Rattus norvegicus: one gene and its partner. The protein of the gene in region 1 binds, or shares a complex with, the protein of each later gene. Links are inferred from orthologs where the notes say so. Each region holds a gene or a part of one and is shown on either strand. Other genes may lie near its edges.

Evidence for each region. The genes of interacting proteins can lie anywhere in the genome.
Region 2: B9d1 (region 1) and Tmem107 share a complex: the UniProt entries of both Homo sapiens proteins name them as parts of the tectonic-like complex. The link is inferred for Rattus norvegicus from reciprocal best matches to the Homo sapiens genes B9D1 and TMEM107.

What each region holds. Positions count from the first base shown.
Region 1 is NC_086028.1:46,685,029-46,688,628, forward strand, and holds the start of B9d1 (B9 domain-containing protein 1), read left to right. Parts: upstream 1-1,119; 5' UTR 1,120-1,178; coding exon 1,179-1,241; intron 1,242-2,313; coding exon 2,314-2,382; intron 2,383-3,600. UniProt on the Homo sapiens protein: Component of the tectonic-like complex, a complex localized at the transition zone of primary cilia and acting as a barrier that prevents diffusion of transmembrane proteins between the cilia and plasma membranes.
Region 2 is NC_086028.1:54,267,029-54,275,231, reverse strand, and holds Tmem107 (transmembrane protein 107), read right to left. Parts: upstream 4,037-8,203; 5' UTR 3,906-4,036; coding exon 3,819-3,905; intron 3,642-3,818; coding exon 3,574-3,641; intron 3,516-3,573; coding exon of another isoform or gene 3,492-3,515; coding exon 3,391-3,491; coding exon of another isoform or gene 3,274-3,390; intron 2,558-3,273; coding exon 2,461-2,557; coding exon of another isoform or gene 2,266-2,460; coding exon 2,196-2,265; 3' UTR 1,712-2,195; downstream 1-1,711. UniProt on the Homo sapiens protein: Plays a role in cilia formation and embryonic patterning. Requires for normal Sonic hedgehog (Shh) signaling in the neural tube and acts in combination with GLI2 and GLI3 to pattern ventral and intermediate neuronal cell types.

The sequences.
Region 1 (3,600 bases):
GAGGGGGTCTAGAATCTCTGCTTGTAAGAAGGACTCAAGGCTCTAAGCTAAAAGAATTTCTTACACTCTTGCACAGTGGCCCACCTGGGAGGCTGTGACCACATGCGTTTCCTCTTCCTCACAGGTGACTTTGGGAATCCCACCAACTGACTTCCAAGCTAAGAGCTTGTGTGATGACCTGGAGTCTGCAGGCTGAGCTCCCTAAAGTATACACATCTGCATCCATTCGTTTCCAGGCTAATCATTAATGTGCTCTCTAGTGTTTCCTTATACGTTCTGCATGTGAAGCCTGATTCTGCAGCTAAATTGCTGCAACGAATATGGCTTAAACTACCTTCCGGGTCTGGATTTCAGTCACTTCCTCCAGAAAAGAGATGTTTTCTTTTCAATGTTTATTCATTAAAGAAGTCGTTCCCAAGTATTTTCCATTGGCCGGACCAGGACCAGGCAATGACGGCCCCCAGAGTCGAGCTGGGGATCTAGAGGCAGAGACTAGCACTAAGCCACTCTGAATTAGACAGTGATAGAGTAAGTGCAGTTGGATCCAAGCGCTAACAGATGCGTCTACTGAGGATGCTGGTGACTTGGGATCAAGCTCTGATATCCCTGAGCTGCCAGTGATTCTCCAAAAATGGGTGATTGGTTCCGTGGGCTCCAGCTTCTCATGCAGGAGCCAGGACTTGGACAAGTGGATTCTCCAAGTTTCAATGACAAGAGCCTCAAAGGGCTAAAGGGCACATCCTTCACCTGAGGCAATGCACTGCGAGATGCCCGCTGGACCACACTGCGCACTAGTCTCCCCAACTGTGGCGCCTGTGCGGTCGCTGCATGTGGCCACAGCGACATCTCCTGGAGAGAGGTAACTCTAGCACGTGACCTTCCGCGAGCCTGAGTCCCGGTGCTGCTTCTCAGTATACAGCTTTCCGGCCTGCGAGCTTCAAGCATGGCCAGGAGAGTGAAGTCACAGTCCCTGCGGGTCCGAGGACCCGACCCTGGGGTTTAGGTTTCGCGCGACGGAAACGGAGGACGGGCCCCTGGGTCGTAAACAACACTGCGCCTGCGCACTCTTGCCTTTACGCGAACTCGTCACCGCTTGAGAAATTTGTCCTAGATGAGTTGCCATCTGTTTCCAAGACAACCCAGGAGCCTCCTGGCAAGGGCGCGCGGCCCAGCCTGCAATGGCTGCAGCAAGTCCCAGTGTCTTCCTGCTCATGGTCAACGGGCAGGTAGAGAGCGCACAGGTAAGCAGCCACTTACTCCTCCCGTTCCTCTCCCTGGGCTCTCTCCTCTGCTCTTAGAGAGTCAAGCCATTGCTCTGAGCGTCTCAAATAATTGGGAAGGCGAACCAGCATTTGAGAACCTTGGTGCCAGGTTGATGGACCGGACAAGCACGAGTGAAAACTGACCTCGAGGTGTTGAGCTGGTACCAAAGTCACACTATGGTCTCTTGCTTGGCTCCTGTTTACTTGGTTGAGTGATGGTCTAGAACTAATGGGATTCAGCCGATCATTTAACAGCTAGGAACTTAGCGGAAGGCAGTGGCCAAGTGGGATTTGACCCGGGTCTGACAGACAGAACTTTGCTACATTCTTCTTCTGGGCTGCTTGTTGAAAATGCTCATTATTCCTACATGTTCTGAGGTTTGGCTGAGATGATTTAAGTTCTACCAGGTCTGAAGCTCAGTAGGTGTTCCTGCCTTCCCATTCATTGGTACTGCATCCTCCGTTTTCCAGTAAGTGGATGCCTACCTGGGCTGCTTCCTCTGGACACCTTCCTTCAGCTTCTGCTCTGGGCCTTCCCTTCTTCCCGGCCCTCAGTTCTAGCCATGTTCTTTGGCCCTGTAGCTTCTTGGGTTCCACTGTAGCTTCTTGGGTTCCACGGCAGCTCATTTCTGTAGCTCTAACTTATGCCCCGAGGCATGAAACCCGTTCCTTCCTCAATCTAACAGGGCTTGTCAGATAGACATTGGTTTCCTGGATGCAGAAATGCAGAGGAGCGTTGGGAGCCAAGCGATGATCCTTAAGCCAGCTAGAGAGTAAAGAATTCCCTGAGGGTGAATTCTGAAAGATGGGCAAGGGGCCTGCCACATGATGGACTGGGAAAGACAGAAAACAGAGCAAAATAACCCGTGATAATTGGCAGTCTGGGACTAACCCCAGTTTCATTTCCATTCCCTGTCCCTGCTGAAACCCATGTCCACATCCTCAACCCCAGATTTCTCATGTTCATGATTCCTACCCACTGCACCTGCCTAGCTAGTGTGTGGGTCCAGTTTGCACTTTCTAGACCAAAGCCTGTATACTTTTCTCTCAGTTTCCAGAGTACGATGACCTCTACTGCAAGTACTGCTTTGTGTACGGCCAGGACTGGGCCCCAACAGCGGTGAGTTGGACTCATGGGCCTCCCCTAGAGCTCTTGTGATTCTTAAAGTTTTCTCATATGCTTCTATTCCAGACCCAACAGGTAGACACTAAGGTCAGAGATGACCCAAACATGAGCTCCTTTCTAGCAAAGCTAGTTTACAGTATACTACGGGGTTCACTCATCTGTGTTGGTGGCAGTCAAGAATAAGAAGTGGCAGCCTTCAAAAAAGAAAGAAAAAAGAAAAAAAAAAAAAAAGACGTGGCAGGCTCTGGAGAACCAGCTGCCAATGGCTATGGACACCCATCAGCCAATACCCCCCCCCCCCAAAATGTGGCCCCTTCTCAGACAACAAAAACCAACCAGAACAAAATAAAGGGTCTGTTCTCGAGGTTTTGAGTTCTTTACCACAGGAAGGGGCTGCAGTGAAGACCACCACCACACCATACTTCATTGTTTGCATAGCCTAACCTTCACAATAGTTTAAAAAGCCAGCCAAACATGATAGCATCTGCCTGTAATCCAACACAGAAGGCTGAGGCAGGAGTGTCTCTAGGAATTCAAGGTCAACTCTGGGCTACATATAGGAGGACCACACAACTGGAAAAAATAAAAAATCCAACGTCAGGGTTGGGGATTTAGCTCAGTGGTAGAGCGCTTGCCTAGCAAGCGCAAGGCCCTGGGTTCGGTCCCCAGCTCCGAAAAAAAAGAAAAAAAAAATGTCCAACGTCTTTGAGCCAGAGTTTCTTCATCTGTACCACAGACATGTTAATACTTTTTGGGTTTTCTCTTATGATACTTGCATAGAGATTAATTCTATTTTAAGTTGTGTGTCTATATATCTGTGTATGGGTATGAATGCAAGTGGAGGCCACAGGTCAGATCCCCTGGAGCTGGAACTGCAGGTGGCTGTGAGCTACCTTTGGGGCTGGAGAAAATTACTGAACAGAATATGTACTTTTGCAGAGGACCCCAGCTTGATTCTCAGCACCCACACTGTGGCTCACAACCATTTATAACTTAGTGACTATTATTGAGTCCCCTGGGAGTGACCAATGTCTGACAGAGTCCCCATCTTTGTGGAGAACATCTGTACTTGTTAAGGAGACACTACGTAGGATACGTTCTGTGCTACGTTCAAGGACAGGTGGAATGAAGAGGGAGTAGATCAGGAGCTAGAGTGTACAGGTAACTAGGAGGGTAGAATCTAGACCAAGGCATTTCAAGGGCGGGTAGAGA
Region 2 (8,203 bases), about 7.6 Mb from region 1:
GGTATCTGTGCTGCTGAAGTGAGCCTGTATGTGTATATAAAGCCATACAGCCCGTGTACATATAACCTTGGGAAACAGAAGCCAGTGACATTTCCGAGGTAGATGAGATGGACTGACAACCAGGAGACAGTTATAAGAAAACTTTGTACAGGCTTCGCACTCAGCTCTCTTAAATTCACTGCTTATAAAAGTGTTTTGAGAAAGCTTTGAGAGATTTGCCTACAAAAAGGAGCAGATGTTCTGGGGTCAAAGGGATCTGTACTTGACAATTCGGTTAACAGAGGATAGTGCTCAGCGTTCGGCTGACAGAACTGCTTCAAGCCTGCAGCTGCTTGGGGAATTTCTCAGGTTGGGCTCAGCCTCCATCCTGAGCTGCTCAACTACCGCCCTCTTCACAGCATTGATGCTGGAGGAATGCAGCGGGGACCTCAAGAGCTGGGCCAATTTGTCCATCCTTACAAGGGGCAGCAAGGTCCTCTTGCTTTGTTGGGGGAAAAGGGTCTTACTCTGCAGCCCTGGCTGGGTGGAATTCACTTGTGGGTGGCGCTCCTGCCTCTGCATGCTGAGTGCTGAGATTGTGGACATGATCACCGGTTCTGGCTTCTTTAAGTTTTTAATGCTGAGGATTTCACCGAGGGCCTCAAGGCACAGCAAGTATACACTCACTGGTGAGCTAGCTGTGTCTCCAGTGTAAATATAACCTGCTTAATCGCAAGTTCACACTGCTTAATTTAAATAAGAGTTATGTTTGGCAACCTGTCAGTAAAGCTCCCGGAAAAAGTAATTTTTTCCAAGTTCAGTAAGACACATGCAAGGGTGTGGGTGTGGGCTTCTCACAGAGCTGTAGTTAAGTTTCTGAGCAATAGCTGAGACATATGTAACATTTTGGTGGCTCTCAAGTTACAACTTCAAGCTTTGCTACTAAACTCCTAAAATCTTTCTTTTTTGGGGGGTGAAGGGGAGGTAGCATGTACCACAATTTACAGGATTAAACAAGTCTGGGAGTGCTGGGAAATGTCTCTATATGCCCAAAGCTGAGTATAGGTCATATCACATCTATTTTCTCAGTATTGTTAATAGGGCTTTGCCTACGGTAAGGAGGTCATTGAATTGAAATGTGGGGATGAAGGCAAGAGACGCTTTAGGTCATAAGGGTTAAGGCCTCATCAGAAAGGATCTCCTGGTAAGCATGAGGAGGGGCCAAGGTTGCTTTCCCCACACCGAGCCTAGAGTGCTTTCTAGAAGCTGGGCAAACAATCAGCAGCAAGGCACTTGTTGTCATAGAAATAAGGTCTGAGCAATCAGTCAGTCATATACACAATTACTAAAAGCACCTTAAAGTCATGGCTCTGACCAGTGTTAGGAGAAATTTCAGGAGCACAGGACAAAATTCCTAAATTCTATCAGTCAGTACATGCGAAATAAATATGATCGTCAGAGAATCAGATAGGAGCAATCAGGATGTTGTCAGGTCCTGATTACACGGAAATGCTAATCAGCAGATCATGCAAGCTCCAATCATCATTTTCTATCTGCCCTCCGAGAGGAGGAACAGGTAAGGATTAACCTCCTGACGATAAAGGACAAAGGGAGCCCATTCCTAATTAAGTAAAGACATTCCATATTAAAGAAAGGGTGAGAATATGACAATTTAGCACGAACCCAATGACTTATAGTTATTGCAACTCAAGAGCAATATCTATTTGCAAGTCGCCTGAAATATTTTATTTTTCCATTCGGCGCAGAAAGAGAGAAACAAAGTTCTCCCATAATGCTCCGCTCACATACAGCAAATTAGAAGCCCTATGTGAGGTTCTTATTTACATATTCCCGCCCACTCACTTCCGCCTATTTTGTACCGTAAAAATCCAAATAGAAGCATAAGCTACTAGCTCACGTACAGAAGGCTAGAAAAAAGCCTTTATTTACATCAGCCTTTTGATTTACCCAATGGTCTTCTGACAAATAGTCTAAGCCTTGCTCTTATTATAAAATGAATTTTATTACAAAACTCTAATAAAATTATAACCCAAGATTTGTGAGATCTTATCCCAACATTGCCATTTTCTGTTTAGACGCAGTTGGGAGGAGCAAAAGACTAGGGCGAGAGAAAACTGAAGCCTCTCCCTTTCTTCTTCCAGCAATGGGAGGGAGTTCATCACGTTTCCGGCTTTGGTCTCTTCATCGGATTGTGATCAGAAGGGTTTCTTTTTCAGCCCAAAGACAGCGATGAATAACGCAGTTTCAGTGACAGCTGGAAAAGCGCTGTGGAAGTAGGGGGTGGGTTTAGAGCCCCTTCCGACCCAAACACTCAAACCTCCAAGCCTTATATGTGAGTGGGTTAGCGGATGGGTACGACTCTTTAAAACTCTACCAATTTCACATGTGCAGGAAAGGTCTAGGTGGGGGAAACCTTCAGATTTGGGGTAGACTTTCCACCACCCTCCATTCCAAAATAACCTGCAGAAGGCAAAAATGTACCAGTACGTGGTACATTCCCATCGCTCGAATATGAAGAAAGATAGGGCCACAGACGCGCTACAGTGGGCTGCAATGGCTTAAAAATACAGCAGAGTCAAGGAAAATAATAGGTAAGTGATGGGTCCCTTTAGTACTCGGACTTGGGCTCAGCTTGTTCCCTTCCCTTAAGACAAACACCAGAGTTGGCAGCCATGCCTTCTGAATTTGTGGACACTTATGTGTAAGAGGCCAGAGCTGAGTTTGTTTTGATAGGACCTCTCCCTGTACACTTTTGGGAGTTAATGTCACATATGCCCTAGGCCTCACAAGAATACCTACAGGTCTGATACACTGTGGGAATTTCTCCAGTGCTCTGGTCCTCCTTGTCCACAACTCAGAGTCAACGGCTATCTTTTTTTTTTTTTTTTTTTTTTTAAAAAACAGGGTCTCTCTATGTAGCCCTGGCTGATTTGGAACTCACTATGTAGGCCAAGCTGGCTTCGAACTTAGAGATTCACCTGCTCCTGCCTCCCTAGTGCTAGGATTAAAGGTTTGCAACATCACACCCGGGTATCGAGAACCTTCCTATGTGTCTCATTTTCTTGGTCCCTTTTGAGTTCCCACAATGGTTTGTATTTTGCACACTCCTACAGAATACTGTTTAATCACACTGATTTACAGATGTTTATCCATCTCTTCCTCAAACAGGATAAAGTGGTTTTACTCCCACTCATGGATCGCCAGAACCTGGCTCACATCAGGGTTTAAGGTTTGAAGTCTATTAATTCCCCAAAACTGTCTAAAACCTCTCACCTAGAGAGATTCGCTTTGCCACGTAGGGCAGAGACTTGTGCCCAAAAGGCCTACAGAAGTGGAAAGAGTGAGTGGTGATGATGTCGCATGGGGACGCTGGCCAGGCAGAAAGGATACAGAGGAGGCTCTGGGTGCTATTAAACATGGAGACTCCTGAGAGGAAGCCAGCCAGCTCCACTGCAAAGAGGCCCAGGGTGAGGCAGAGCGCTGCTACCAGTCTGCAGAGAGAAAGGGTGATGGACCTGGGTTTCCGGATTGCGTAGAAGACCCTGGCACTCTCACCCCGCCCCAAGAGCTCACTGGTTGTCCTGCTTCTCATATTCCTCCGGGGTGAACTTGAGAGGCAGGCAAGCCTGGATGTTGCTTTCCTGGTGAGCCGGGCAGAAAGAAAGAAAGAAATGTCAAAAGAGGGATGGGGTTGCGGGGGACGGGAGCAACGGACCCAGTGTGGGTCTGTGGGAGTGGACTGAGCTGAGCTGGGTCCACTCTAAGGTGAGAATGGGAGGGACAAGAAGACACGCGCGCGCGCCCTGTCCACGTCTTACCCGGGACCAGAACAAAGTGATGACAATCACCAGATGAGCCAAGAGCGTCAGGAATCGAGAGGGCACGAGCCCGGAGATCCGACCCATGGCCTCGGGGGCCCAAAGCGGAGGCCGTAGAAGTCTGAGGAGGGTCACTCATCAAGTCTCCCAGAGCAAGCAGGCCAGACCTCTCTACTTAAGCCTCCTTCCCGCGTGCTCAGGCGCCGCCCGGTTGCCATGGTAACTGCGTCCTCAGGCGCCATGCAGCTGCCTCCGGAAGTCTCGCGATAGTGCTGCGCCCTCTGCAGATGTCTATAGGCCAGGTACCCGAGCCGATGCTCACCTCCTGGTGCTTGTGGGATGAATCCGGGAGGATGCACCCGTAACCACCAAATCCTCCCTTTTCCTGTGCTTCCCACTCACTGCCTTGGGCGCCAGGAGATGAGGGAACGAAGGAGTAGAGCTTCAGCACCGAGCTTTGCCCCACAGTCTCGCCAAGCCCTCCCCGCCCCCCCCCCACAGCCCCTGGTTGTCAGAGGGCTCCCTCTCCCACCCAAGACCAAACCTCTGCCGATGAACGACTCTAATTTCTCCCTAAATAACTTGTCTCGGTTTCATGAAAGATTTGCCGAGTGCAGAAATGAGCAACCTTGGAATGGGTAGAATAGGATGTGGGTGGATGAGGTGACAGCCTCCTCGGGATCCCAAGGGATCTGAAAAGGTGAAGAATGGAGTGGGGGACTAGAACAGCTTGTGCGCCCCTGGGAGGCTTAAACCAGGCTGATTCACCACCGATTTCACTCTCGCTTTGAGTTGCCAGGCCGCGGACATTGCTCAGTTACAGACCCAGAACCTCTTCTTAGGGTGATGTGACTGATTTGGGGCTTCGGATGAAATGCCTGCGATCGGAAAGTTCTCACTACCATCCCAGTTCACAATCAAGTCCCATTGACAATGAACCTCCTCCTTTTGCACCCCCTCTTCTCTCATTTCTCTGTGTGTGTGTGTGTGTGTGTGTGTGTGTGTGTGTGTGTGTGTGTGCCTCTAAACCAGCCTAAAAGACAAGACCCAGAGGGATTTCATTCATTCAACAAATATCTGATGTCTCCCAGATGCCAGGCACTGTGCTTGACTCAGAATACATCGATAAAGTCCCTCCAGTTTATATTCTAGGCAGAGAGACTGATAACAAAACAAACAAACAAAACAAAACAAACAAATACACACACACACACACACACACACACACACAAAACCCCAACAAAACCCTGCAAGGTAATGTATGCTGTAAATTTAAAAACTTTAAAGGGTGACACTAGAATAATATCAAAGGAAAGTTTTGAAATAGATAATTCCTAAATTTTCGTTTCAAGGAATTGGGGGGAGGGGGAGAGAGAGAGGAAATGTTTCTGTCTCCCTAAAGTAATACATGGGGTCCCCTTACCTAAACCAGTGAGTAAAAACATTTAGAATGCAGAGTCAACGTTTTTTACTTAAAGGTCATGAAAGACAGGCTGGAGTTCTTCCCACTGAGTGGGGGATAAACCTAACCTAACATGAGATCCCAAACCAGACAAAAGACACCCCCCACCCACACACACACTCACACTTTCATTATAAAAGACTGGTGGAATGTTTGACAAACAGTATAGTATTTGTAACTTAAATAACAACAACGTAGATTTTTTTAATTTTTTATTTATTATATATGAATACACTGTAGCTGTCCTCAGACACACCAGAAGAGGGCATCAGATCCCATTATAGATGGTTGTGAGCCACCATGTGGTTGCTGTGAACTCAGAACCTCTGGAAGAGCAGTCAGTGCTCTTAACTGCTGAGCCATCTCTCCACCCCCAATGTCCTGATTCTTTTCTTCAGTATTGGAGATAAGCTTTTGCATATAGGTAATAGGTAAGCACCCTCCACTGAGCTATACTTCCACTTTCCCTTCTGAGTCTTATAGTATATCTTCATCGATGCATAGAGTGGCATTCTAAGTCATTTGTAGCATTAAATGTTCTTATTTATTGAAATTCCCCCTTTATATTGAAACTTCTGCCTGTGCTGCACTGGGAATCAAATGCAGAGTCTGGACCACACGAAAAAACTGCTTTCCTACCGAGCTCCTACATGGTGAAATTTTATAGTAACTTTTTCATATAAATATGAATCTTAAGCTGGATAAGGGGAAAACACCTACAGTCCCAACACTTGGGAGGTAGAGGAAAGAGGGTCAGAAATTCGAGATCGTGCTCAGTTAGTCGGTTCAATAAAACAAAGAACTAAAATGACTTTACAAACAAACTGTAGAGGTGGCTCAGTGGTTATCCCAGCACCAGGTGTTAATCCCAGCACTCAGGAGGCAGAGGCAGTCAGATCTCTGTGTTCGAGGCGAGCCTGCTCTACAAAGCAGGACAGCCAAGGCTACACAGAGAAATCCTCTGTTGAAACAAAGATCACAGAACACTCTTGTTAAATTCAGTTCCCAGCACCCGTATTGTGTTGCTTACAACCTCTTGTAACTCTAGAGATTCGGTGCCCGCTTTTGGAAGCTGCACACAAACACACACAACACACACTCAATGCACACACACACTCATACACACATACATATGGACTCACACTCAATGCACAAACACACTCAACACACAACACAGACTCACACTCAATGCACACACATACACACGGGCTCACACTCAATGCACACACACTCATATACATACACACACGAACTAACACTCAATGCACACACATACATTCACACACACACTCAATGCACACACACTCATACACACACAGCACACTCATACACACACGCATGCATACACACACACAGACTCACACTCAATGCACACAAACACACACACCACACTCAACACACACACGGACTCACACTCAATGCACACACACATATTCATACATACACACACGTTCATACATACACAAACACACACACACGGACTCACACTCAATGCACACACACATTCATACACACACACAGACTCACACTCAATGCACACACTTATACACAATATTTAAAAGAAATTGTGAGGCCTGGTGGCTCATAGCTTTAGTTCCAGCACTCAGGAGGCAGAGGCAGACAGGTCTGTAAGGTACATAGTAAGGGGGTTGGGGATTTAGCTCAGTGGTAGAGCGCTTTGCCTAGCAAGCGCAAGGCCCTGGGTTCGGTCCCCAGCTCCGAAAAAAAGAAAAAAAAAAGGTACATAGTGAGATCCTGTCTCAAAAAAGATACGTCAGTTAATTAGTTTAATCAAGTCACCTCTTAGCTCCATATGGTGGCACACTGAAGACAGCCAGGGCTAACAGCTAACAAACATTGTTGGTTTGGTTTGGTTTGGTTTTGAGACATAGTCTCATATATAGCTCCATCTTTCCTAGAATCCACTATGCAGATCAGGCTGGTCCGCCCGCGAACTCACAGAGACCCTCCTGCCTCTGGGTTCAAAAGTGTTCATCACCATTCCTAGCTACATTTATTTACTTTTTTTTGGGGGGGGGGGTATTCTCCATCATAGAAGTCAGGGTGCTGTAAAATATGTCACTGCGCTTAAGGGCACAGACAAAATGAAAGAACGCAAGAGTTCGAGTCTTTTCCCTGCCTGTGACTTGTGAGGCTGAGCTCGGTGACGACGTAGCTGGCGACTATCTCCAGGCAGAAGAAGCTGTGTCAGAGGACTAAGTGAGGAAAGGCTCGGGCTTGCGTTGGAGGATTTCCAAAGATCTAAGGGCAGGAGCCAGCCGCTTGGAGATCTGCGGAAACAGCATTCCAGACGAGGGAGGAGCCAGGCCTAGATGAGCCTGTGTGTTTGCCAGACAGAAGGAAGCCAGGGATTCTGAAGCCTAAGGAAGCAGAAGAGATCAGATCGATGTTGGAGAGGTGGACGAGAGCTAAACTTCCTCAGCTTCTACAGATACAGAGAGAGGCATAGTCAGATTTGTCCTCTAGACTCTGGTTGCAACATGGAAAACATTTTAAGGAGAAGATGAATGAGGAAGATGGGAAAGAAACGTGTAGAAGGGGTAGATTGGGGCTTGAATCAGGATCGACTCGAGCAGGTGGGTTGGAGTAAGGGAATCAAGAGATCAAGAAATACTGACTTTTTATATTTAAAGACAGGGTCTCACTCTGTGGTTCTGACTGGCCTGAAGTTCACTGTGTGCTGTAGGATGGCCTTCTACTTGTGGCAGCTCTTCTGTCTCAGCCACCCAAGTTCTAGGATCTCTGGAATGTGCCGTGAGGCCTCTCTCTGAGAGATATTTAGAGGAAAAAAAATCAACCTGGCTGTGGGATTCGGGGTTAGATCTAGCATCTGGAAGTTTGGGGTTTTCTGCTTATAGTAGGCTTCCAGTCTAAGAGGCCTCCTAGACGGTAAAAACTAGGT